Lonchura striata: one gene and its partners. The protein of the gene in region 1 purifies or fractionates together with the protein of each later gene. This does not show direct contact. Links are inferred from orthologs where the notes say so. Each region holds a gene or a part of one and is shown in the gene's direction. Other genes may lie near its edges.

Region 1 (8,129 bases):
CCAGCATGGGTTTGTCCCTTGGAACCAGAGCACTGGGACCAGTTTCACTTAGCTGTACAGCCCTGTGTTGAGGGGTTATATAGATGGATCTGAGCTTTTGCAGGAGGCCTGATGGGAGGTAGAGGGCATAAGCTGCACAAGTGACATTCATTCTAGGTATTAAGGGAAATGCTTCCCCTCAAGGGTAATACAGGTATGAGTCCTAGAGAAGCTGTGGCATCTCCATCATCATCATCAGAAATACCCAGTCCTGGACCAGAGAAGTCCTGAACTACCCAGTGTAGTTTGCCTTGCTTCAATCAGGGATGGACCAGAAATGTCCAGGATCCTCTTCCCATCTCTCGTACCCGAAGAGGTTATGGAGATGCTGGAGGGGGAAAAGTGGTCATTTCTTGGAATATGCTAGCTGACTCTGAGCTCAGATTTGGTCTAGGCTTGGAAACTGGGTGCAGGTAACTTTGCTGGCAGTTGCTCTGCCAGTTATCAAAGGTGTTTGTCCTTTTTCCAACACTTGCAGGTGGGAGATATGGACTCTCCCCAAGCCAAGGTCTCTTGGCAAGCTCAGCTGTGGCAATGGCTGGCTGTTGTGCCCCACTCTAGAGGAGGACAACCAGGTCTGGTTCATTGGACCTGGTGCTCTCTGGTGTAATAGGCTTGGCAGCAGGTGACTGCCACCCTGACCCCTGGCTGCTTCCATGACCAGAGAGCCTGGCCACAGAGTGGGGCTGGTGGCACTGTGCATGCTCGACAGACCTGTTGGGGACAGAGGGATCAGGATGTGCCTTTCCTTCTCTGCCCCTTGCAGCCTCATGTCCCTCTTGTTGCTCTCCCAGTCCCTCCCAGTGTGTGTGCAACCCTTCTGAAGTGTGTGAATGTTGTGGCACTGCTGCTTACGTGCTCTCCAACTTGCAAGTGACCTGTCTTGTGAATTTGCTGTTGTTTGATGTCCTTTTGTTCCACTTCTCACATCCATTCCATTCCTGTGGACTTTCCTGCCTGCTGTCCTTCCTTCCAGGTAGGAACACTGCACTCTGTGGGCTGATTCCTGCAGCCAAGCCACTTGTGGTGGCCTAGCCAAGCAGAATCTCAGCTCTGCCGTGGCTAAAGACCAGAGATGCCAAGGATTTTGGGGATACCACCCTCGTTCTGCCAGCTCTATGCATGCAGGCATCTTGTGTGGTGGGAGGATATAGCATGGGTGCAGGGAACTGGTTCTGTGAGCAGCATCAGAATTAGGGGCTCCGCTTTATCCCAACACATCCTGGAAGCTCCATGGCCTGTTTGCCATGCAGTCAAGACCTGGTGACTACAGGGAAGCACCCAAATGGAAAGCCATCAAAGCTAGGATAAACTCCAGACCCAAAGAGTACAGAATGATGGGGTTTGGCATTGTGTATTTTTGGGAGTGATGTCATGAAAAAATTGGGGAGGGGAGAGATGTTGGCCAAAGTAATTGGAAACAGCAATCTGAGCAAATACAGTCCCAGCTAGAGGCGGTGGAGCAGAGCAGGGAATCAGAGCCACTGAAGGAGAATGAAAGCATGTAGGCAGTTGAGAAGAGGTGGGATCCAATTGCCTCAGCCCAAACTGAAGGAACATCTTACAGAAGACCATGTGTGGTATCCAGGGCCAGAAAGATGGCTCCATCAGAGCACAGGTCCACCTAGAGAGCCACCAGCTGTGACCAAAAAGGAACATTACAGAGCGGTGTAAGAGAACAGCAAGCAGATGAGTGTTAGTCCCAATGAAGAACTCCCTAAAGCACAAAGACATCCACCAGACATTTCTGGCAGTCCCTGATGTTTTCTCTTGCCCTGAAATTATCCAAATTCTCCCTGCACTGCTGCACCCTTTGAGCACCCCTGGTCTGTGAGTGCCATGCAGTTTGAGGAAGGGCTTTTTGGTTTGCTCTGATTTCCTCTGCTGCCCGTTGGGTCTTCTGCAGCTGTGTCAGGCACTTGTTTGGAAACTGTCTTAATTGTCCTGAGCAGCCTCACCTGGGACTTCCTCACACTCCTGAGCTGCATTTAAGCTCAAGCCTGTGTTTTCAGGTTTGTTTTAAGCAAGTTTGTAGGTGTTCGTGTTTTGGCCTTGCCTCTAGCCCTGTCTTGTAGGCATATGTGGTAGCTTTATTATCCAGTCAGGATTTTGGCTCTATCTCACAACCAAGTGGATGCTGGATTTAGTCCATGGTTTGCTCTGTGGATGGCTCCTGATACCAACACCTGTTGCTGCTCTGCTCATGTACTGTGGGTTTATACCTGTTCATGAGGACATGGAGTCACTCCTCAGGGAGCAGCCCCATTCTTACACCTGTGTGTTGAACAAAAAAAAAAATTAAAAATTAATAAAGGCTATTACCTAGTTTTGCATGTGCAACAGTACCTCTGTTCTAGTTGTTACTGCTCATAGAAGAGATCTGGCTGTTAAAAAAATGAGCAGCTAACTGTATTCAGCAGCAGTCAGAAAAAGCAGCTGGATATCAATAGCAGGAAGATCAGGAACAGGATGGAAACCATCACAACCCCAGCACCCAGCTGCAATATGGATGAAGAGCTGGAAAAGGGTGAAGAAGCACTTGTTGCAATGGCCTAGAGAAGGATTGAAAAGGGGAGGTAGAGGGTGGGTGTCATGCTGGCAGCAGGATCCATGCTCCCGTGGAGCTGTCAGGCAGCTTGTCTGGATGGAACTTTGGGGGAAATCAGGTAAGAGACTTTTAAGGTATCGTATCAAGTGCTGTGCCCTAAAGCTGCATAAGAACAGGGCTAGAAATGGGAATTTTATTATGTGGGGTTGTAAATGAGAAAATCCTTGAAGGCTGAAAACTTGCTTTAAGCTGCTTCCAGTTGTCAGTGGCTGCTGGTTTGGTTAAGGGAGGACCTGCTGGTAAACTTGTGTCCTGTGGATGATGGTGGCTTGGGGAAGGGCTTGGCTCTCCAGGGTGGGTCTGATAGCCTTGGTGAGAGATTGGCATCCTGGGAAGCTGGGGTAGGCTGAAGCTCTAGGCCTGTTCAGAGCACAAGGACAGACATCTTGGAAAGGATCCACAGGATGAGGCTTAGGAAGGAAAGGAGTAGAGCAGAAGGGATGAACCAGCCCACAATGACCCAGATCTCACCTTTTGCCTGTGTAGACATTTTTGCAACTTGGGAAGCAAAAGACCTTGCAATTGGAAGGCCCAGGGAAGAGGAGGAAAAGAGTGTGTAGCTGTTCCATGAACAAGAGAAAACCAAATCCTGCTACCTGCATTGACTGTCCTGCCTGTGGCTATCAGATCCATGTGCTCATTGTTCCCAGCCTAACTGGTGACCCCAGCCAGGCTGAGGGTCCTGCTGACCCTTTCTCAGCCTGGCAGGACATGGCGAGGCCTTGGTCTCACCTGTGCCAGGTGTAGCTTGTGCTCAGCTTGAAGGGAGGGTGGCCAGGGCATGTGATGGGAGGCATGTGAGCTCCAGCAGCCCTGCTGGAGCTATAAATGGCATGTGTGCTCACTGGAGGAGCATGGCTGGCGGGAGGAGGGGGAGGCGGTGGTGGCAGTGAGGGGGGTGTCTGGGTTTGCAGTTACTCCCTTGCTCTGTAGGAGGTTGGCCTGGGCTGTGGGGGACAGCTGTGAGGGCTGGTGCTGAGCGTGTGTGTCCTCTGAGTGGTGAGGCAGATATGGAAAGGGCTTGTGCGAGCTGCACAATTCTCCATGGGGTGCCCGGGAGACAAAATGGGTCTGTGGCAGGACTGCTGCTTCCAGAAGTGGGGTCTTGCCCTGGGTTGCAGTTCTTGTTTGCAGCACAGCGTGTGGGAGGACCCTTTTTCTCAACTAAGAATTCTCTGTTCTCACAGTTTGGAGCTCTGGGGCTGTGCTATTCCTCTCACAATTTTGCTGACCCGCACGCAGTGTGCCTTGCACACGGTTGTCCCTTTGCTCTGGAGGTGCTGGGTCACACCTGCACAGAGGATGTGACTTGTGCCAAAATGCTCAGAGCCATCTGATGTGCAGAGCCAGGATGGGCATGAGCCAGGGTGAGACCAGCCCCTTCCCGCCTGTACAGGTGCTCTGTCCCACCCGTGGATGGCGGTGGTACAGAACCCCAGCCTCGCCTCCTGCGGGCTTGAAGGTATCTGCGGCCCATCCTGTTAAACGGGAGATATTTTTTCTGCTAAGTAGTCATCAGCCCGTGCCTCAGCAATGCGTGTTTTGGACATATCTGCTTCAGTCCTGTGCCCTGCATGCCCCTGGGCACCCACGTGTCCCCCACACCCTCTCGGTGCCACTGCAGCCACCGGAGACAAATGGACGGCAAGTTTTCCCTTGCGGGCTGTGACAGCAGCCGGGGTGCGGAGTTGCCTGGAGCAACAGCTGGTGGCATCGCTGGCAGTCAGGCGCGGTGGCGCGGAGCCGCTCCTGGCTGGATCCTGAGGCTGGCGAGGCACGCAATCTTTGAGCCACGTGGTGTGTCCCCTGCGAGGACCCGCGTGCCCGGAGCTGGCGGTGGGAAGGGGCCCGAGGCAGGGCTGACAGCGGGATGTCCCAGCTCGCTCGCAGCCCGCGGTCTGTCCCGTCCCCGCCCCGCCGCAGCCCCGGCCCGAGCGCCGCGTTCCCCGGGCCGGCCGCGCGGTCCCTTTAAGAGCCGCCCTGCGTGTTCCAACCCGGGCGTGACGCGAGCGCGGTCCGACCGTATGCAAATCAAACGCCAACCGACGGCCAATGGGCTCCGGCGCTCGGCGGCCGCCAGCCAATGGGGTGACGCTTCCCGACGGGGCGCCGTCTCGCCCCATATAAGGAGCGCCTTCGCCATAAAAGGCAACATTGTATCGCTTTATATGGGGGCGGCGCGGCGCGGCGGGGGCGGCGGCGGAGCGGGGCCGTGAGCGCGGAGCGCGGCGGGGACATGGCGGGGCCGGCCTGACCCGGCCCGACCCGACCCGCGCTCGCCGCCGCGATGTTGCCGAGCCAGGCCGGGGCCGGGAACGGCGCCGCCGCCGCGCTGGCCCGCGGCTCGGGGCTGGGCCGGTCGCCGGTGCCGCGTGGGGCGAACGGCGGCGGGGCGGCGGCGGCGGGGGCGCCCGGGGGCTGCCTAAAGCGGGAGGCGCTGTACAGCGGCAGCGAGGGCGACTCGGAGTCGGCCGAGGAGGAGGAGCTGGGCGGCGAGCGGCGCGGCGTGAAGCGTGGCCTGGCCGAGGCGGCGGCGGCGGCAGCGGCGGCGGGGCCCGCGGCGGGAGCGGCGGCGGCGGCCGCCTACAGCGGCGGCGGGGGCGGCGGGGCCGTGAGCGGCGCCAAGCCCGGGAAGAAGACGCGGGGCCGGGTGAAGATCAAGATGGAGTTCATCGACAACAAGCTGCGGCGCTACACAACCTTCAGCAAGAGGAAAACCGGCATCATGAAGAAGGTGCGGCCCCGCGACTCCGGCCGGCGCGGGGGGGCGGCCCGGCCCGGCCCGGCCCGGCCCGGGCGGGGATGCTGGCCGGCACCCACCTGTCCGTGGGAGTCCCGGCCGGGTCCGAGCGCCGAGCAGGCCAGCGGGCTGTGCCCGGAAACGGCGGCGGCTTCCCCGCCCGCGGGACGGGGAGGCGGCTGGGCACCAGCCCCTTCCGGGGGGCTGCGCGGGAGCCCCCGGCGGAGCTGCGGGCAGGGAGCCGGGCGACCGGCAGCGGGAGCCCCCGGGGCCGGGGGATGTCTGTTTGCTTGGCGGTCCCCAGGCGTGTGATGTGTTCCGGGAGGCCCATCCCGGTGCAGCGTCCAGACTCGGGCTAGAGCTGACCGGTGCCCTCGGGGCTCCTCGCTGTGAGCCACCACCAAAACGCCGAATGTTTGGTGGCACAGCTGGACTGTCCTGCCCTGTCCCCGGCAGGACTGCCTGCTTCGGCCGGTCCAGAGTGCTATCCGTGGTTCCCGGTGTGCAAAGACAGATTAGAAACCTGGGGGATTTTGGGTGCTGCTGGCGGATTTGTATCCCTGGTGATGCTTATAGCATCTTTTGAACAACTGGGTAGTGCTGCATAGCAGCTCAGCTGGACATCATGCACTCTGGGAAGGTAGAAATGGGTGCGAGTTACTGCTGGGGCACATCCCGGAGGTACAGGACTACGGGATGTGGAATGAGGCCATCCTGTCTGTAGAAGCTTGTGTGAGACCATTGAGTGTGCAGTGATAGCATATGAAGAGTGTACCTCCTAGTCCACAGGTATTCACCTGGGGCATAGTGACCTTACTGCAGGGCTGTTTGGGTGCAGCTGTGCTCAGAGTTCTGGAGCCTGAGAGGAGAATCTGGGTCGGAGCCTGAATGGGGTGTTGGTGAGGGGAATGAGGTAGCAGAGACGTGTGCCAAGTAACATCACTGAGAGGTGAGGTGAGGGAGGCATCCAGACATGTCTGGAGAAGCTAGTGGGATTTCCAGAATGGAGACAATCCTGTGTTCCAGTGTTATCAGACTTCTGTACTGAGGGGAGCACTCTATCCATGGCGTCTGGGCAGGCACATCTCCTAGGGGTGTGCTAAAGGGGATGGGAGCACAGCACGGGGCAGTTCAGTCTGTAGGGAGCCAGTTGGTTTTAGAGGCCACAGTTCCTCTGGGGTGGCAGGGAGCTGAAGCTGGTGTGAAGAGAAAGAAAGCCATTGTGGGAACGTGGGGACATGCAGAGACTTTTGTTCTGCACTGTCTGTTGTCCCTGTCACCTGTGACTCCTTGTTCTTCCTTGTCCTGCTGGCAGGCCTATGAGCTCTCCACGCTAACTGGCACTCAAGTCCTGCTGTTGGTGGCCAGCGAGACGGGCCATGTGTACACGTTTGCCACACGAAAGCTGCAGCCCATGATCACCAGCGAGACGGGGAAGGCGTTGATCCAAACATGCCTCAATTCCCCGGACTCGCCCCCACGCTCGGACCCCACCACTGACCAGCGCATGAGTGCCACTGGTTTTGAGGAGACGGACCTCACCTACCAGGTGTCCGAGTCGGACAGCAGCGGGGAGACCAAGGTAATGTTCCTGGGCACTCAGGGAGGTGTGGGCTGTGCTGGGAGCCCTGATCATCCCCAGCCCTCTTTAAATAGCAGTGTTGGGCGCTGAGGATGAATCCCCTTTTGCTGCGACTGCAGCGAGCTTGTGTCATGTCATCTCTGTGCTGGCTGGCTCCGTGGCTGATAGCAGCAGTGATTGAAAGAGGGAGGGAAGTGCGTGGCAGGTATCCTGGTCCTGGCCCTTGCAGCATGGCTCCCCACTGGCCCAGCCCACCCCCCTGGCCAGCTTTCAGCACTGTTATCTCTCCCCAGGCGTCTCCTTGCTCTCACACTCATTGATAAAAATTTGATTCTGCCTCCATGGCCTTATAAGGCCTGGTTTCCCTCGCCAGAGTCCCTGGCAGGGCCCCTCACATTCCTTATAAGCTGCAGCTGTCTCTTGCTTTGGTGCTGTTTTGGAAGGGGGCAGGGAGGACATGGGGAATGGAAACATTTGGCTGGACAGACCATTTCTGCTCCCTGCCTGTTGTCCCTGCAGACGCTGGCCCCTGCCTGCCCGTGTTACTTGTGGCCTTTTGCCCAGGGTGGCCTGGCTGTGGGTGAACGGTTGGGCAGAGTCAGCTTTTCTGCTGGAAGGGCCCCTTCTTGTCTCTGCACTCCCTGTTGCTGTTCCTCAGAGCTGTGTCCCACATCCCTGCCACTTCCTTTGCAGGCCGATGCTCAGATCCATAGGTACTTGGAGATGGGAGGCAGGAAATTTTATGGTGCAAGACAGGTGGGATGGCATGCTGAATTTAGGGCTCTGCCACAGCTTCCCAGGCCTGTGTGCAGCTCTGCTGGGTGCTGGGAATTAGAACAGCCCTGCTGTACCTGTGCTGGTGTCATGGGTACTAGGCTTGCTGCAAAAGTGTTCTTCCATTGTCCTTGTCATAGGAGCCCTCCAGCTGTCCATGCTCAAGCCACAACATTGTTGCCGTGCAGTAGCCTCTAGATATTAAGCAGACAGAACCTGGAAACCTCTGCTGTAATTGCAAAGGTACTGAGTGCAGCCCTGAAATATGCCCAAAATGTCTGGGGCTGCTGGGGTATTTAGGTGCCTGTTTTTATGACAGCATAACAGCTCTGGTCATGGTGCTGCTGGGTACCCCCTGTTCCTTAATGTCCACTTCCCCACATATG
Region 2 (7,558 bases), on another chromosome or scaffold:
GTGGTGTCCAGGAGGGAAAAAGAGTAGAAGAGGTCGAATGTCCCATCCTGGAGTGTTTTGAGTTGCGGGAAAAATGGGAACTGAGGGGCCACATCCAATGGGACACAGGTGAGGAGAGGGGAAGCAGGGAGCAGGTCAGGGAGAGCCCATCACACCTGAGGGGATAGGTGTGTGGGATAGACCAGTGTGACACAAACTCCATAGTGCAGTATAAAAACTACCCAGTGCAAATTCCCAACCACCCAGTGCAAAACAACCACTAAATAACTATTTAGTGCATCACAACACGTCAGGCCACTGAAGGGTGTGTTTGTCAGAGTGGTTTCCCAGCCCTGCCTCGTGGTCAGGCCGTGCTGTGAGCCAAGCCAGGCCACATCCACGAGGGCTTGGCCACCCACCCTCAGGACACACGCTTCCATCAGCCTACATGTTACTGCAGTGCCACGGCTGTCAGAGCTTCCCTTGTTCTTGGAAAGATGCTGTGGTGTGCTAATTAGTGGGAACATTTGGAATGGATGTCGTTTGCAAGTCCTGCTGCTCGTGCCAGTCCTGATTCCTCAGCCTGATTTAATGAGGGGTATTCTAAATAACGCCCCTTCTCCCTGCCTGGAGCTGCTAAAGGCACTGAGGCACAAAGTTGCATAACCCAGTGCTGCTGCTTGTGTGCATGCTTGAGAAGAAACAGCCACGGAAAAATCCTGTAACATTCCTGGGCTGGTCGGTCTCTTGGTATCAAAGCGTTTCCTGCTGGGCTTTCACCTCTGAATCCTAATCCAGCAGCTTTGGAAGAGTGGAGAGGGGTGGGCAGGGGCCCTGCGGAGCAGAAGACCCCTCTGAGAAGAGAGTGGGTAAAGGCTGAGTGCCACTGTGAGCCCAGAGGTGCAAGAGGTGCCTGCTTTAGTGTTCCTGCCCCGGGCTGAGCTGGGCTGTGCTGCTGGTTGCAGTCAGTGCAGATGTTGCTGCTCACCCAGCCCTGCTTCCTGGGAGCAGCCACAGCTCCCCGTGTTCCCTGGGACCCTCCTCTCACTCAGCATCCAAAGGCATCCCTGGAGGGGAACCCCCCAGAGCAGAACACATTCCCAGCCTAACCTATCCATTACTGCTGCCCTGTGAGCCCCCTGCCCCGCTACAGCTGGCTGGACCAGTTTGAGGGTAAAAACAAGTCATTTTGCTTTCTGGTGTGCTCCTCAATCCTCCGAGAGGCTGGCACTGAACTCAGAGCGTGCTGCAGATGGAAATCCTGCCAAGTGCTGGCTGACAGAGCTGACCCTGCCTGACAGGGCATCACCCCACAGCAGCTCCCACTGCTGCCAGCGCCTGTGAGGCAGCCCAGGGCACAGGGACCCCCCCACATCCCTGCTGCATTAAGGAGGTGTGAGAAAGGTTCACTCAGCGTGCCCAGCTCATGGGGATGTCTCTGAAGTGACACCTCTCCCCAGGCAGGCTCCTCGGAGAGCAGGGATGGCTGTTTATTGCCTCGTACCTCGACGTGACATTTGGACATTGCCCCAGAGCAGCACCTTGGCTCCATCCTATAGATTCACTTTATGACTCACCCTGCAACTTGATGCATTGTGTCCAGATAAAAGACACTTTATCCCTATGATAAAAACGGACAAAGATGATGTCAAAATAAAAGAATGTTTTCTCATCCGAATAAAAGTCAAAGCTGCCGTTCTTGGGGTTATTTTGCTTGAAAACCTCCAGAGAAAGCAAGACTTTGAGTTTTTACCATTTATAGTTAGTTGTAGAAAATTCAGCATGCAAAGTTTGCTATCTGCCTTCCTGCCCTGCTCTGGAGAGGAGCGTCCCTGTGCTGGTTACTGCTGGGGACGTGGGGGAAGGAAGGTGCCATCCTGGATGGACCCAAAGCCCAGGACACTGCTGGGCAGGGAGGGTGCTCTGGGTGCTCACAGCGTCCTGCCAGGACAGCTGTGCCAGTGTGGGCACCTGGGGGTTCATGTCACCAGTGAGGAGCTGTCCCTGCCCATGCCACCACCACCAGCCCGGGCATTCCCACAGCAGGATCGTGGCCAAGCACGAGGGCAGCGGTCTGAGGGACGGGGACGGCCCAAGCCCTGGGGGAGCTGTGTCTTCCTGGCCGTGCTTCACCGAGCAGGGCTTTAATTTTAGCAAACAATGCCAATTAGAGAGGGATTGTTCAATGGCTGCGTCTCAGTGGAGAGCAAGAGCTGCTGGCAGGGCTCTGAAGGAGCCCAGCTGGGGAGGGACCCTCCTGGGGCAGGGGGGGACAGCTGAGCTCTGCTCTGTGGCTGCTCCAGCTGCTGCTTGGAGGCACCACCGCTGCTCCTGCAGCTGCAGGGGCTCAGGCAGTGTCACTGCCATGTCCTGGGGCAGTCCTCTGCTGCTGGTTCACTCCCAGCTCTCCAGAGAGCCTCTGCCCCTGCCCAGCCACGGCTGCTGCAGCTGGGGAGGGTCCTGGGGTGGCCGAAGGGCCATGGAGGGGTGGCAGACCCCTGTGCTCTAGGGAGGGGGGCTGCAGCAGCAGGACCCACTGCAGGAGAAACAAGCACGGGTAGGAGTCGTGTAGAGGAGCATCCTTTGTCAAGTCTCATTTCAGAGGTGAACCAATCCCATTGTTTCAGTTAAATTGCTGCTATAAATGCAGTTAAAGCATTTTCTGGTGAAGGATCATGAATCACCCACACCATCAGACTGTGCCGAGGGAAAGTGCTCCATGGGAGCCTCAGGGTGAAATACCAATATTGGGGTACCCACAGCTTGTTGCCTTTGGTGTTTCTCTGGCTATAAAGTTCGACCCCTTCACCAAAATCGATAAATTTGTGACCTTCAGCCAAAATCCGTCATTCAGAGAGTGACAGCGTGGAGATAAAGGTGGTAGGACTGATGCTACTGAGGAGCCCTCAGAGAAGGTGAGGTTTTCTGAATGTGTCAGGACACTGGGCCCATCCTGAGGGCAAGCAGACCATCCCTCCTGCTGGCCAAAGGAATTTCAATCCCACTGCTCACTGTGCATGGTGATCCATGCCCAGCCTGCAGTTAATTTGCTAATTAAACCACTTGTAAAAAACTTGTAAAAAAGGTGAAGAGGCACCTCAAGAGGGAAAGGAACAGAATCACAGAGAGGCTGGGCTGCCTCCTTTTGGAAATGAAAGAGCCTGTTGGCAATGGCAGAGCTTCACATGCTGAGCTGGAATCACAACCCAGGGAAAAGGGGAACGGATTAAACAGAACGAGAAACGAGGGACTCTAAATGCTGTCTTCAACATTTCAGTAGAGGCCTCATAAATTTAGACAATTATGAGACGCACTTAGAGAAGCCCAAGACTATTCTGTTGGGGCAGGAGGGTGACTTTGCAAACAAAGAGTTTCCAAGGAGCTCTGGCGTGAGGACATCCCAGAGCAGCCTGACCTGGGTGACTCTTTAGTACTGGAAGGGGGAGGCTGGATGAATGGAGAGGGGTGGGAACACCACGTTCATTAACTCATGCAACACAGGACAAGACAAATGTTGCTTGGCTTCAGCCTCTCTCCTTTGTTGGATGCTCTGAACCCCGAGTGGCTGGTCCTGGAGTCCCTTCTGGGTGTTGAAGTGATGTGAGAGGAGGCCCTGGGCTGAGCCCCTCCAGGCAGCCGGGCTCGTGCTTTGGTGCTGGGATTTTCCACCACACTGCACAGGCCTTGCGCTGTTGTGCAGGAGCCTTTAAAGCAAAACCTAGAAGAAATACATTTCACCCTGTTCTGTGTGCTTTTCACCCCAGACTGCAGCAAAAAGAGCCTTTTCATTGTGTCAGAGTGCTGGTTTTCTGCTTCTTTTTTCTTCTGTTGAGATTGGGATTGAAGGTACTTGAGACGCTAGCTTGTGCTCAGACTCAGGTGTTTATTATTTCTTATCCATTATCTTATTATCTATTCTTATCTATTATTTCTTATCTATTGTTACAGTCTCACAGCAGTGAGTTTTGCACTATCTCACTAACAAAGCACAAAATGGCTAATTATCTCTTGTTATGAGGCCTTTTAAGGCTAAACCATCTAATTAAGAAATGACACCTAAATTATTTTCACTTTTAACCTAATAACTAATCATGCAAAGTCCACAATGAGGACTTTTCTGCCCAATCACAAAACACCACCCAAACGCATGAAGAAGATAGGAGAAGAAGGTGAAGAAGAAGGAAGAAAAGGGTGAAGAAGAAGATAGAAAAAGAAGGTGAAGAACAAGATAGAAGAAGAAGGTGAAGAACAAGATAGAAGGAGAAGGTGAAGAACAAGATAGAAGGAGAAGGTGAAGAAGAAGGACCAGCCTCTGCCCTAAAACCTCCATTTGCTTCATATTTATTTATATTCTGTATTCTGAGGGCGAGGCTCTGCACATCAGGGTGCTCAGGCTGGCATCATGGCAAGCTCTGGTTCAGGGGCACAGTGGGGTGGGTAGTCATGGGCAGCACCATCGCTCCCAGTGACCAGGAGCAGTGGGGTGAGTTGTGCCCTTTGTTGGGCACAACTGTGTCACCATGCCAGGAGGGACGGAGCAGGTGAAGTGGGCAGAGCTCCCAGGAGAGGGCTGGCAGGGCAGGGACTGCTCTCCCCAGGCTCCACACAGAGCCCCAGCCCGGCCCTGCAGCACTGGAAGCACCCACAGCATGCACAGCACAGAGCCCTGTGAGCGAGGATGGTTTTGCCTCCTCTGGGCTCTCACTGCTCTGGGCATCTCCTGTGCCAAGCACAGACACTGCCCTGGCTGCCAGGGAGGAGCTCAGCTCTGGGATGCTCTGGATGTGTGTGAGGACCCATTCCCAGCCTCGCCGTGCGGTCAGAGAGGATAAAGAAAAAGAGGCTAAAGAAAATAAGAATGAAGTAAAAGCTCCCTGGGTGCTCCCTGGGAGGAGAACGTTTCCCTGCCTCCCTTCTGCAGGAAGGTGAATGAGCCAGCACAGCAGAGGCCATTCATAAAGTGGATGTGGGCCAGGGGGACCTCAGGAGGTCACGGTGCCCTGCCTCACCCCAGCCCAGGCTGGGCATGGTGGCAGGCACAGCCCCTTGGCCAGGACCTGCTGCGAGGGATGGGCTTTGTCTTGCTCACACCCCTGCTCCAAGAGCAAATCCAGAGGTATTTTATCCTCTGTACATTTGTTTAAGGAAGTTTAAAAGCAAATTTGGCCCCTGCCTTTGAATCCTCGCTCCTATAAATTCAAACACCTTGGACAGAGCATGTCTGTGCAGTCTTACATGTGACATTTAGCTAAAACCACTTACAAACAACTTGCATTACAAGTTTATTCGTTCCCCACAGAATGTTGGCTCCGCTGAGTGTCTCACGAGCCATCTGCTGTGGGCGAGCTGCTTATCTTTGCTATCAGAGCCCTCTTCTAAATATTATGACCAAACAGAATTCCAAGAACAACATCCATCCCGCTGCACTGCAAATGCGCAAAGCCGATAAACTGTTTATGTATTGCCAGCTAAAGAAGTTGGGTTTGTCTGGAAGGGTTTGCAGGAGAAAGTCTCTTGGGGTGCTCAGAAAGAATGTGTTTTACAGGTGGTGCTGTGACATGGGGAGGACATCGGGGCTGCCCTTGGTCTGCCAGCCCTGCCTGAGCTGGTGGCACAGGGTGACACAGGGATGGGGACCCACCAAAACCAACAGCTCCTCCCCAAAACTGGACCCAGAGCCTGATAAGCTGTGGTGCAGCAGTGCTTGAGCACCAGCTCCTTGCCCAAACCCAGGGCAGAGCCCCTTGCCCATCCCCAGCAGTGGGGGACGAGCTCCAGGCCTGATTCCTGGGATGTCAGAGACTGCCTGCTGCTTTGTGGCTCTCCTGCCCACTCCTGCAGCCCCAGGGCAGCCCTGGCCTGTCCTGCTGGATCTCCTCAGCTTGGCAGGGACAGACAGAGGAGCTGTGTAACCCCTGCCCGCGCCAGCAGCAGGGCCAGCTCACCCTGGCGCCTGGGCCAGCGCCCAGAGCCCTGACCCCTGTGCCCCAGTGTGAATGATCTAAAGGCTTGTGAAATGCACCCAAAGTGTCCCGGCCCTTCCCAGCCCAATTTGGGTATCCCAGGCCGTGTTTATTCTTCCACACTGGGCTCTGCTCGTTGCCTCTCGGTGTCAAGAAACCTCGGGCCAAGGCTGTGAGCAGAGGTCAGTGTGGGCTGACCCGGCCGCCCCAGCAGATGGAGAGGGTTTCTTTTCCCTGGGGGACTGAGATTTAGGGACATTTTGTCTGCTGGCTGCTGGCGGGATGCTGCTGGCCCCAGCTGCCCTCTCCCAGCCCAGCAGGGTGGGGCAGGGCCACCAGGGCTCCTGTGTCACCCCTGGGGCAGGGAGGGCCAGGCAGGGTCCATGGCACTGGGCAGCAGCAGATGGGCAAGTGGCTCTGCCCTGTGTTTGGGCAAGGAGCTGCTGTGGGCATGGTCTCCCAGAGCTCCAAAGAGCCACATATTGGGCATTTTTCTGCTACATCCTCTCCTCAGCCACGCTCACCACAGGCAATATTTGTTTTTCCATGACTTCTGTCCATCACAGAGGGGTTTTTGCAGCTCTGGATCTCTTGTCCTGGTGTCATTCCCCAGGCTCCTCAGCCCCTTCAGCTATACTATGTCCCTGCACAATGCAGGTGTCCCTCCTCCTCCAGCCTCTTCCTGCTCTGGCCTTGCCATGAAAAATTGACAGGTGAATTTTTAGGAACTGTGTGCAGTTTTAGGAGCGTGGGGAGTGAGGAGCTGTGGCTGGGGTGGGGAGCTGGTGGGCTCAGTAAAGCCCAGGGCGAGGGCAGCTCAGCCTGGCAGGAGGAGGAGGAGCAGGAGTGGGGAGCTGTGATTTTATCCGGGATCCTGAGGTGACTCTGGGGCAGAGCAGGGCTATCAATGTGTCTGTGAATGGGTCACTGCTCAGCCAGGGTGCCAGTGCTGCTCTGCTGCCCCACAAGTGAAATGTTCCTTTTGCTAATGCTTGCAGAGGGTCAAAACCCCTGGAGAGGTGAGGCAGGGCAGCTGTAGGGAGCCAAACTGGGTCCTGTGGCTCAGCCAGAGGATATTTATCATCCAGCAGCTGAAAATTGTCCTCCAGTGGATGCAGGGATGCAGGTGGTGCCAGCCAGATGGAACAAACCCCATCACACCAACCACAGGCTGGTGGAGTGTGTGGAGGGAGAGGTCCTGGCACTTGGTGGCACTTGTGACACTTGTAGGCAAAGCTTGTGCCCACGAGGTCTTGTTCCTGCCCAGGTGGAGGCAGCAGGGGCAGGCACAAATCCAGAATCCCCTGGAGATGCCACCAGCCTCCACCTCTGCACTGCTCAGCTCTGCCCAGGGCTGTGAGGATCCAAAGCAGAAAGATGGCACTGCCCCCTCTCACAGCTGTGAAAATGTAAATTAAAACTGGCTACAGCTCCAGGAGGCCTGTCAGGAAGTGATCCCAGGGTTCATCCTTCCTTTTTCTTCCATGCTTTCCTGCTTTGGCATACAAAAGTTCATTTTTGGAAGGAAATCTAAGGGAAGGGGAGACAGTAGCTGATTTTTGTTGTGCTGGTACCCAGCCATGAGGAGAAGGAGGACAGGGAGTGATGAGGCACAA
Region 3 (7,958 bases), on another chromosome or scaffold:
AGAGAAACCCACCATTTCTTCTTCTCTGGGCTCAAAATCTCTCCTTGGGCAACACCTTTTTGTAGTTCAAGGAGTGTATATGCAGCTTTTTAGAGCACAGAACTGACAGAACTGCTGTCAGTGGTTTTCTGAAGAAAATCCAACTAAATTAACCAGCTTGTCTTTAAAAGTCTCACCATTTTCTTTGGCCTCGTAGGTGACACCTTCTTAGATGTTACCCTCACATGTAGTAGTATCAGGAGCATGTCCTGCATAATGCTTTTGTTTGCACATGATCTTAAGTATTATAGACCTCTGGACCATTTCTTTATGACACCCATCTTGCTCAGTGCAGTGGGTCCTGGAGGGAGGAAGGAAGGAGGAGAGCCAGGGTCCATAAGTGAACCAACATATTTGCTTCCCTTCCTCTCTCTTTTCCCTCTTTTCAGCCCTTGTAGCAATATTTGTGGAGTCTCTTTGCAGTACTAACATCAGGAGTGAAGAGGTGGGAAAATAAAAAAAATTGGCTTTATTGTGGGGCACTTTGCTCCTCAGGTCTGCAGAGCCTGGGAGAGAGGCAGGGCTGAGTTACTCATTGTTAGCAAAGGGGGATGGGATTGCTGCTGCCTTTCCACACCTCACTTACCATGTTGACTTGCCTTGCTGGTTGGAAACTGCTTATCTATGGAGTTAATCAAATGCAGATCAGAGTTGCATTCCTTGGGCTCAACTGATTCTTCTTGGTCCTGTGTTTTGCAGATAGGGATCGAGGATTTCATGTGCTTTGTGTTTTCAGGGAAAGGCAAATTGACATCTTGGCTGAATCCCAAGGAATGGAGTGGGTGGCAGAGTTTATATATGGGCTGGGGGTTGATTTGGCTCTAGCTGCTGTGCAAAGTTCACTTTGACAGCTGAAAGATGCAGAGAGAAGCACTTTCAGAATTAGAGACAGTGAGGTAATGAGAAAGTGACATAGGAAAGGAAGTGGAGGGGGGGAGGTGGGGGGAAGGGAGGGCTCAAAACTGGCCTTGACATCATCTGATAGGTTTTCCACCCTGTGCAGCAGCTATTTTTATGCTTTCAACTCTCAGTAATTACAGCTCAATGACAGCCAACTTGCCAAAAGCAGGGGTGGTGGTATATCCCAGAGTGGGTTGGAGGACTGAAGAGCTGCTCAAAAGCTACAACAAAAGTCCAGGTTCCCAGGCATGATTCTGGCTGCTGTGACCTATTTTCACATCTGCATGGTGGTTTAGCTCTGGCTACCTGTCATGTCTAGGAGTTTTCTGAATGCTGAATGGCAGCACTGGCTGTCACCAGCTGATTGAAAATATAAGAGGAGGTAAATATCAGACTCTTCCTGAGAACTGGAGAAGCAAAAATGTACAGTGCTCCCAGCCTCGCTTTTCTTCCTCTTCCTAAAGGCCATTGTTGGTGGGGGGCATTGTTGGTGGATCCTGGGAATATCCACAGCGAACTCACATTACGTAGATGTGATCTCTAGCTGAGAAGTAAGCAACACAAGTGTCACTGTGCAGTCTGTATTTATTTTGAAATATAAAATGAATTGAGTTGTGAGACATTAAGGCTTCACAGTGATGTAGTGTAGCATTCTATTATTTTCCCAGCTTTTGTGTAATTGCTAGACATCTCAGACAGATCTTCAAATGTAGTGGTCTCGTACTTCTTTCTTAGGATTTATCTGGCTTAGACCTTGCCTGAGATCTCTCTCATGTTGTCTGAGTAAGTTTTTAGCAGTACATTGTTTATATTTAATCACTAAATTATGTGCATGCAGATCATTGGAGGCGTTGTGTCCTGTGAGAACATTGTTACTGGGGGAAAGAGGAGAACCTGCATTGAATTGCAGAGATGAACGGAGGTGAAAGGAGGAAGGTGGTGGTGGAGATTATGAACATATTTTCTATCTGCTTGATAATTTGAATTTAAAAATGCTTTTTTTTTTTTTTTTGGGGGGGGGGGGTAGAAACTAATGGTGGAGTTTTGTGTTACAGGTGAGTTCATCCAAGGTCTGCCCTCTATTAAAATTGATGTGGCCTCTCTCTCCCTTCCCTTGGCTTTTAAAGATAGAAAGAGACAAGAAATTAATTCATTAAAATTTGTGTGTATTTGAGGTACCACTACCTACTCACTACTTTGAGTGGTAGCAGTAGCTGTGTAAGCCTGTGTGCTCCTGATGCAGCATCTTGGGGAAGAATACATCCCCACATTCTGCATCTTATTTCACACTTGAAAGTTAGAGGATGTGCAGCTCTATTCATGTCTCATGCATAGATTATGAAAACTGGGCCTGATGTTTTTCAGATGAGAAATCTATGGCAAATACTTAGGTGCCCTTGGTAAAGGTGATTGTTTTGCCAATAGTACTTCTGCCAATTCTAGGGTAAAAGTTGTGCAAGACACTGAATGTTGAGTGTGCATTAGTGGGGTTGCTCCTACTTTTCTGGAGTAGTTAAGCAACTGAAACTTGTTGAAATCCTACCTCAGCTGTGAAATGGGTTTTCCAATCTACCCTGTTAATTTCCAGAGCAACTGTCAAAGTTACTTCTTACAGTGCATTGATATTTCTGTCCATGTGATTGCTGATCAGACTTTTGGATCTCTTACCAGTACATCAGGATCCAGTAAAGCAAATTAAACTTTTAAAACCTTTTTTTATGTTTATAAACCAGTAAAAATGGTATCAATGTCTCATATAACACAGGTTGCTCTTGGCTTTACTTATCTCTTAGATTCCACGTTTTGCAAGGAGAAAACCCAGAAGTGCTTGCTTGTGTGTTGAAGGTATCCTCTAAACTAAGCCCTTTGGAGTTTATCTTCTTACAGCATGGGGAACATTATCCATGTTCTCTTTGGAGTGCTGTGGCCCAGATAATTCGGATAATTACTTCTTCTTTTAGAACACTAAATAATGGTGTGGGAGAAATTTGATACTGTGAGACAAAATTTTAGAGTATCTTCCTCAGCAAATAAAAGATTTACCTAGCTACCATTGAGCCAGTCAAGTGTTCTTCTATCCAAGATGCTTTCTGCATAGGAAAAAGAAAGGTGTGTCTGTGTACATGTCTGCAGCTCTGCAGTAATACATTGAAAGGATCAGATCTTCATCAGTTCTTAAAGTTCTCTTCATCAGAACTTGGACAATGTCTTAGTGCTGTTTTGGCAATACCTGGGTATTGGCAGGTTTGCTGGATGAACAGCCAGCTCATGTTTCTCAGGTTTTGTATGCTGTAGTGACCTGCTAACTCAGAGGCCCTGGTTGGCAAAATTATAGTAGGTCCTCACCTCTGTAGCTGAATCTTGTAATTTTTACCATCTAAATGGTATAGTCTTGCCAGGAAAAGCAGAACTGGGTCTGGCACTGAGTAATTGTTCTTTAGTTATTGCAATTATTGGACCTCCCTGCTCAGAGTATCAGGCCTGACTCAATGTGTTTTGTGTTGCTGCTGAAAGGGGAGATCTGGACAATGTGTTTCTTTATCTTCTCCTTCATCCAGTCTTTAGAACTCTTGTGGTGTGCTGAGTCTCTTTCCCAAGGCAGGTCTCCACAGTGCTGTGGCTGCTAATGCTCACACAAAAACAGGCTCTTCTATTTATGCAGTAATTTGACCTTGCTGGCTGAAGTTCACTGGGAAGACTGAACCTTCACCTGACTTTTACAAATCCTAAAATTAAGATGACAATTTTTCTTGAGTATATGGTGGTAATTCAGGAGTATTGCAATTACAGAGCTTTATATTATCACCAAAGGTAATTTTTTTACTCACAGGAAGACTGGGGTTTGGATTCTTTCCTGGATGAAGGTTGAACATTTCAAAGTAAGAAAAGCACTGTTAAAAGTACTCAGAAATGTCACTGATGCCATCTAGCATTTGGTTGAACACTACTTTTCTTAGATATTAGTTTCATTATTAGAGAAGTTTTTTTTCCCTGACTGTAATTCCAGCCTTGCTTTAGAAAATGGCTTGAATGCCTCTAAAACTATTTGGAAATTAGAAAATTTTATCTTGATGGGAACAGAATATGAATTGGAAACTGTTCCTGTAGTGTTTAGAGTATTCATCTTTTAATTTTGCAATGTCCATGTGGTTATATATTTATATATTTTTTTTTTCTGGAAAGATAACAAGAATATTTTTTTTAGGTATGTGATCGTTGGATATCTCTTCTTTTTTTTTTTTTTTAAACTCCAGACTTCATAGTACTTCTTATGATTCATGCTTAGCAAAATTAAAAACCAACAAAGCTACCAGCTGTATTGGTGAGAGTACCTCCTGGTTGTTGTTCAGATGGAACATGTCTTCCCCTGGTGACTTCCAATTCCAGTACCATGCTGGGCAGTGTGTATAATCAAAATTTGTCAGCCATGTGGCATCTGTTTATGATACACATGAAATAAGCTAAAGTTGAGGTGGATGCCCCCATACAAAAACAGATTCTGAAGTTCTAGTGCCTGCAGTAGAGGTTTACTGACTTGGGGCTGCAGATTATCTTAAGGTAGGAGTTTCTGCTAGGTTGGGAGAATGGATTTAAGGGAAGAAGGGGTGAGAATATGTGCTTGCACAGAAGTAGCCTGCTCTTACCTGTGTGCGGTCTCAGGGCAAATGCATATGAAGACTCTATTTCTCGGATTATCAGTTTAGCTTTCTCCACAGCTAATACTCTTGTTTCTAAGGGTTTAAGGTAGAAGGGAGAAAAAGCATTTAGTTTCTGCCCTCAGAGCAGGGATATTCTCCTAGCTGTGTGCACAGCATGCTTACAGTCGGGAGATGCAGGGGGAGAGAGGGTTCTGCTCAATCACATGATATTGCCTGTCTGGCAGGTGTCTGCAGTGTGAGTAGAGGAACCAACTGTTCACTATTTTGGGTGAATGAGGTTGGTTGTTACTGCAAGTGGCCCCACAAAGAAGTCCACGCATCTGTTGATAAGCAGTGCTCTGCGTATTGCTGCCCAAATGCTTATAGCTGCTTGCTGAAACAGTGAAGTTTCTGTTTGAGCTTTGAGATCATAGGAAGAAAAATTTTGCCAAGAGCCTTGTTGGTTTTAATCTTTAGATGTTGGCTGTCAGGGTTTGTCTGTGCCTACAGAACCTCTCTGTTCTGATGCAAGCACAGCCTTGGAATCTAGCAGTAAATTGATTTTTTTTCTGCTCTACCGCTTGGTGCAGTGACCGAAACCTGGTAGAGAGGGATTGTAGTTGGGTCTCTTGTGAGGATCAAGCACCCCTTCCACTTGCCTGGACGCCTCCTGTGTTACAGAATCCGCCTTCAGGTCCAGGGATTTCCTCTAATATGTTGGATAAAGCCAAGACACTGCAGCCTGCCTATGTCGGGATTGTGCCGCTCGCAGAGACTGTGTCAAAGCAAGGGGAGAGCTGTTCAAGCACATATCAAGATCCATACCACAGCTTACGAGAAGGTCAGCAGGCTCTGCTCTCTTTGTTGTAGGCACTGTATAATTCATTTGTGGGGGTTTTATTTTGTTTTTTTTTTTTCTGTGTTGTTGTGGTTTTTTTTCCCTCTTGCATATTGAATCTGCCTGTTTTTGCTTTCTGGGCAATAGTCCAGAGTTTGGGTTTCCCACTGACTCCTGTGACCTCTTGTCCCTGAGGGCATTCAAGCACATCATTCGACAAGCCTGGAGCTCTGTATGAAGTGACTTGCAGTGCTGGGATCTTGAGACAATTACATTTAGAAATTTTGGGTTCAAACTTCCCTTACATCTGTAGGCCTGTTGTGAGCAACATTTTAAGGCTATTTCATTAAAGGTGTAAAGGATTGTTCTGGAGTGGCAACTGTGCCTTGAAGAAGATAAGAGTACCATGTTTTAAGTGTCTCTATGTTCTTCTTTTAAGACTGTTCAAGGAGTGTTGTGGATGTATCTAAATGTGATCTTGTCTTAGTTGATGGTATTCTGCAAATATGTGTGATTTTTTAACAAGGATTTAACAGTTCTGAAAAATTATGTAGACACAGAGAGGTCAGATTCCAGGGAGTCTAAAAGGAAAGAAGAGGATCTGGAGGGACTGAAAAAGATTGAGAAGATGAAAACAGGCAGTGATCCATTCATAGTGCACAGCATTATAAATATCAGCAAACAGGAACTGGGAAAAGATTACAGGGAAGAATGGCAGAACATCACAAAAAGCCAATGGCAAGCAGCAAGGTTTATGTTTTATCAGAAATACTGGATTTGTCAGCTACAAGTGAAATTTTAGTAGGAACTTGCAGAAGGAAACAATGATCTGGAGTACAGTGCCTCAGAATAAGGTGATGACTGATTTTAAGAGCGAGTAATGTCATCTGAAAGGAGGGGAAAATAACTTTCTGACATTTTGCACAGCAAAGCAAGATAAAGGAGGGGTAGGTGTTGAGGACAATAATCTAGATAGAATAAGACCATGTTTGTTGCATAAATATGGCCAGTGTGTGGAAGAAAATGTTAGCAGTTGCATTTAGAGTATTTTTCTCTGGTACGTAGTCTAGGCCTGCTGGGGCTGCCAGACAAAAGTGTTAGGTTTCTGCCCCCAATTGTCACTCCCCCTACCAAGCGTATTTAACATCTATCAAGAGCTACCTTATCGTTATTTTTTTAAAAATATTACTATTTTTGTTGCATGTTTTCATTGGAATATTCTTTGTTGAAATTATATGGAGAAGGAAAAGAAAACTGAACTCCTAGTCCTCAAATTCAAGTTCAGGAGTTATAAATCCATTAGTACAGGCAGTGTTCCCAGATTTCTTTATCTGCTTTGGGGACATAGAGCTGCAGCACATCAATCTTCAGAGGAAAAAAACAACCCAAAATTAAAAAAAAGCCAGAACTTGTGTCTGTCCTGTATTTGCAAGCATTGGTTTTCACAGAAGGTGAGCACTTTGCATTTGGATGTACCAGGATACATCTTTCATCCAATCACTAAATATGACAAGCTGTACAGTGGGATAACATGTACAACAAGGAAAAAGCAATTCTGTCTTACTTTAATCAATATAAAAAGGTTTGTTGCTGTCTCAAGTTGAATTGAATTAAGGCCATTGAAATCTGGTGTAATTCTGGTTATTGGAAAAGCTGTGTTGACTCTGCAAAGGCCAGCAATACCATCAGCCTACCCCATGGCTAATTTATGATGCTCTAATGTCACATGTGATAAGGAAAGCTGCTTTCCACCAGCTACCAAATGAAGGTTAGGAAAGAGAAATAGATGCTGCCAGCTTCTTTTCTGTCAGATGAAGAAAATAATAACACTTTAGGTTTGCTGCTGCTCCATTTAAGTCCCCTGCAGTTTTGGGATGCCTGTTGTATTTATTCTGTAGCATGCACTGATGCACTGTATTTTGCAGAGCCAGTTCTTACAGGCAGCAGAGGAACAGATGCATCCACGTGTAAACCCTTATGGAAGTCCAGAATTAGCACTGAGCTGAGACTGATGACTGTTGTGCCTTAGTTTTTGATCCCCCTAAAAATGGGACAGCTTAGTTTTGTTGCCACCAAGACAGAAAAATCATGCATTTTTCTTCCTGACTCTTAATAAAACTGGACGAATGAGGGCTTATACTAACGCTGACAATGCTCATCTATTCTCTTAATGATTCTCATGAGAAGCAGCTATCTGGAATAGACTACATATTGCTTCCTGATTTTTGGAAAACAGATGTCTCCTAAATCTGATTTCTTTCTTTTTTTTTTTTTTTTTTTTTTTTAATTAGGACTTGACATTGAGGTTTGGGATTTGGTGATCCTTTCTACACAGATACGGATTTGACATGCAGAAGTCAAAGAACTTAAGCTTCTATTATTCAAAATATGTGTTTAGGGCAGTTATTTGCAAAATTCCTAGAATTTAGGAATCCATAAACATGTTTTCTATTCAAGAATGCCTTGGAGTGATTTGGTTTTCAAATACTAGAGCCCAGTTTGCAGTTCCTACATCAGTTAACACAACAGTATGGTAGCCCCTC

Evidence for each region. Proteins that work in one complex are often made in the same cells at the same time.
Region 2: the proteins of SRF (region 1) and MYOCD purify together in Homo sapiens (affinity purification with western blotting; 3 studies listed by BioGRID and IntAct, with this or other methods). This does not show direct contact. The link is inferred for Lonchura striata from reciprocal best matches to the Homo sapiens genes SRF and MYOCD.
Region 3: the proteins of SRF (region 1) and MRTFA purify together in Homo sapiens (affinity purification with western blotting; 4 studies listed by BioGRID and IntAct, with this or other methods). This does not show direct contact. The link is inferred for Lonchura striata from reciprocal best matches to the Homo sapiens genes SRF and MRTFA.

Annotation. Positions count from the first base shown.
Region 1 is NC_134605.1:18,595,028-18,603,156, reverse strand, and holds the start of SRF (serum response factor), read left to right. Parts: upstream 1-4,934; coding exon 4,935-5,381; intron 5,382-6,702; coding exon 6,703-6,969; intron 6,970-8,129. UniProt on the Homo sapiens protein: SRF is a transcription factor that binds to the serum response element (SRE), a short sequence of dyad symmetry located 300 bp to the 5' of the site of transcription initiation of some genes (such as FOS).
Region 2 is NC_134621.1:1,673,313-1,680,870, forward strand, and holds the start of MYOCD (myocardin), read left to right. Parts: upstream 1-4,422; coding exon 4,423-4,462; intron 4,463-7,558. UniProt on the Homo sapiens protein: Smooth muscle cells (SM) and cardiac muscle cells-specific transcriptional factor which uses the canonical single or multiple CArG boxes DNA sequence. Acts as a cofactor of serum response factor (SRF) with the potential to modulate SRF-target genes.
Region 3 is NC_134607.1:24,738,102-24,746,059, reverse strand, and holds the start of MRTFA (myocardin-related transcription factor A), read left to right. Parts: upstream 1-4,822; 5' UTR 4,823-5,291; coding exon 5,292-5,418; intron 5,419-7,958. UniProt on the Homo sapiens protein: Transcription coactivator that associates with the serum response factor (SRF) transcription factor to control expression of genes regulating the cytoskeleton during development, morphogenesis and cell migration.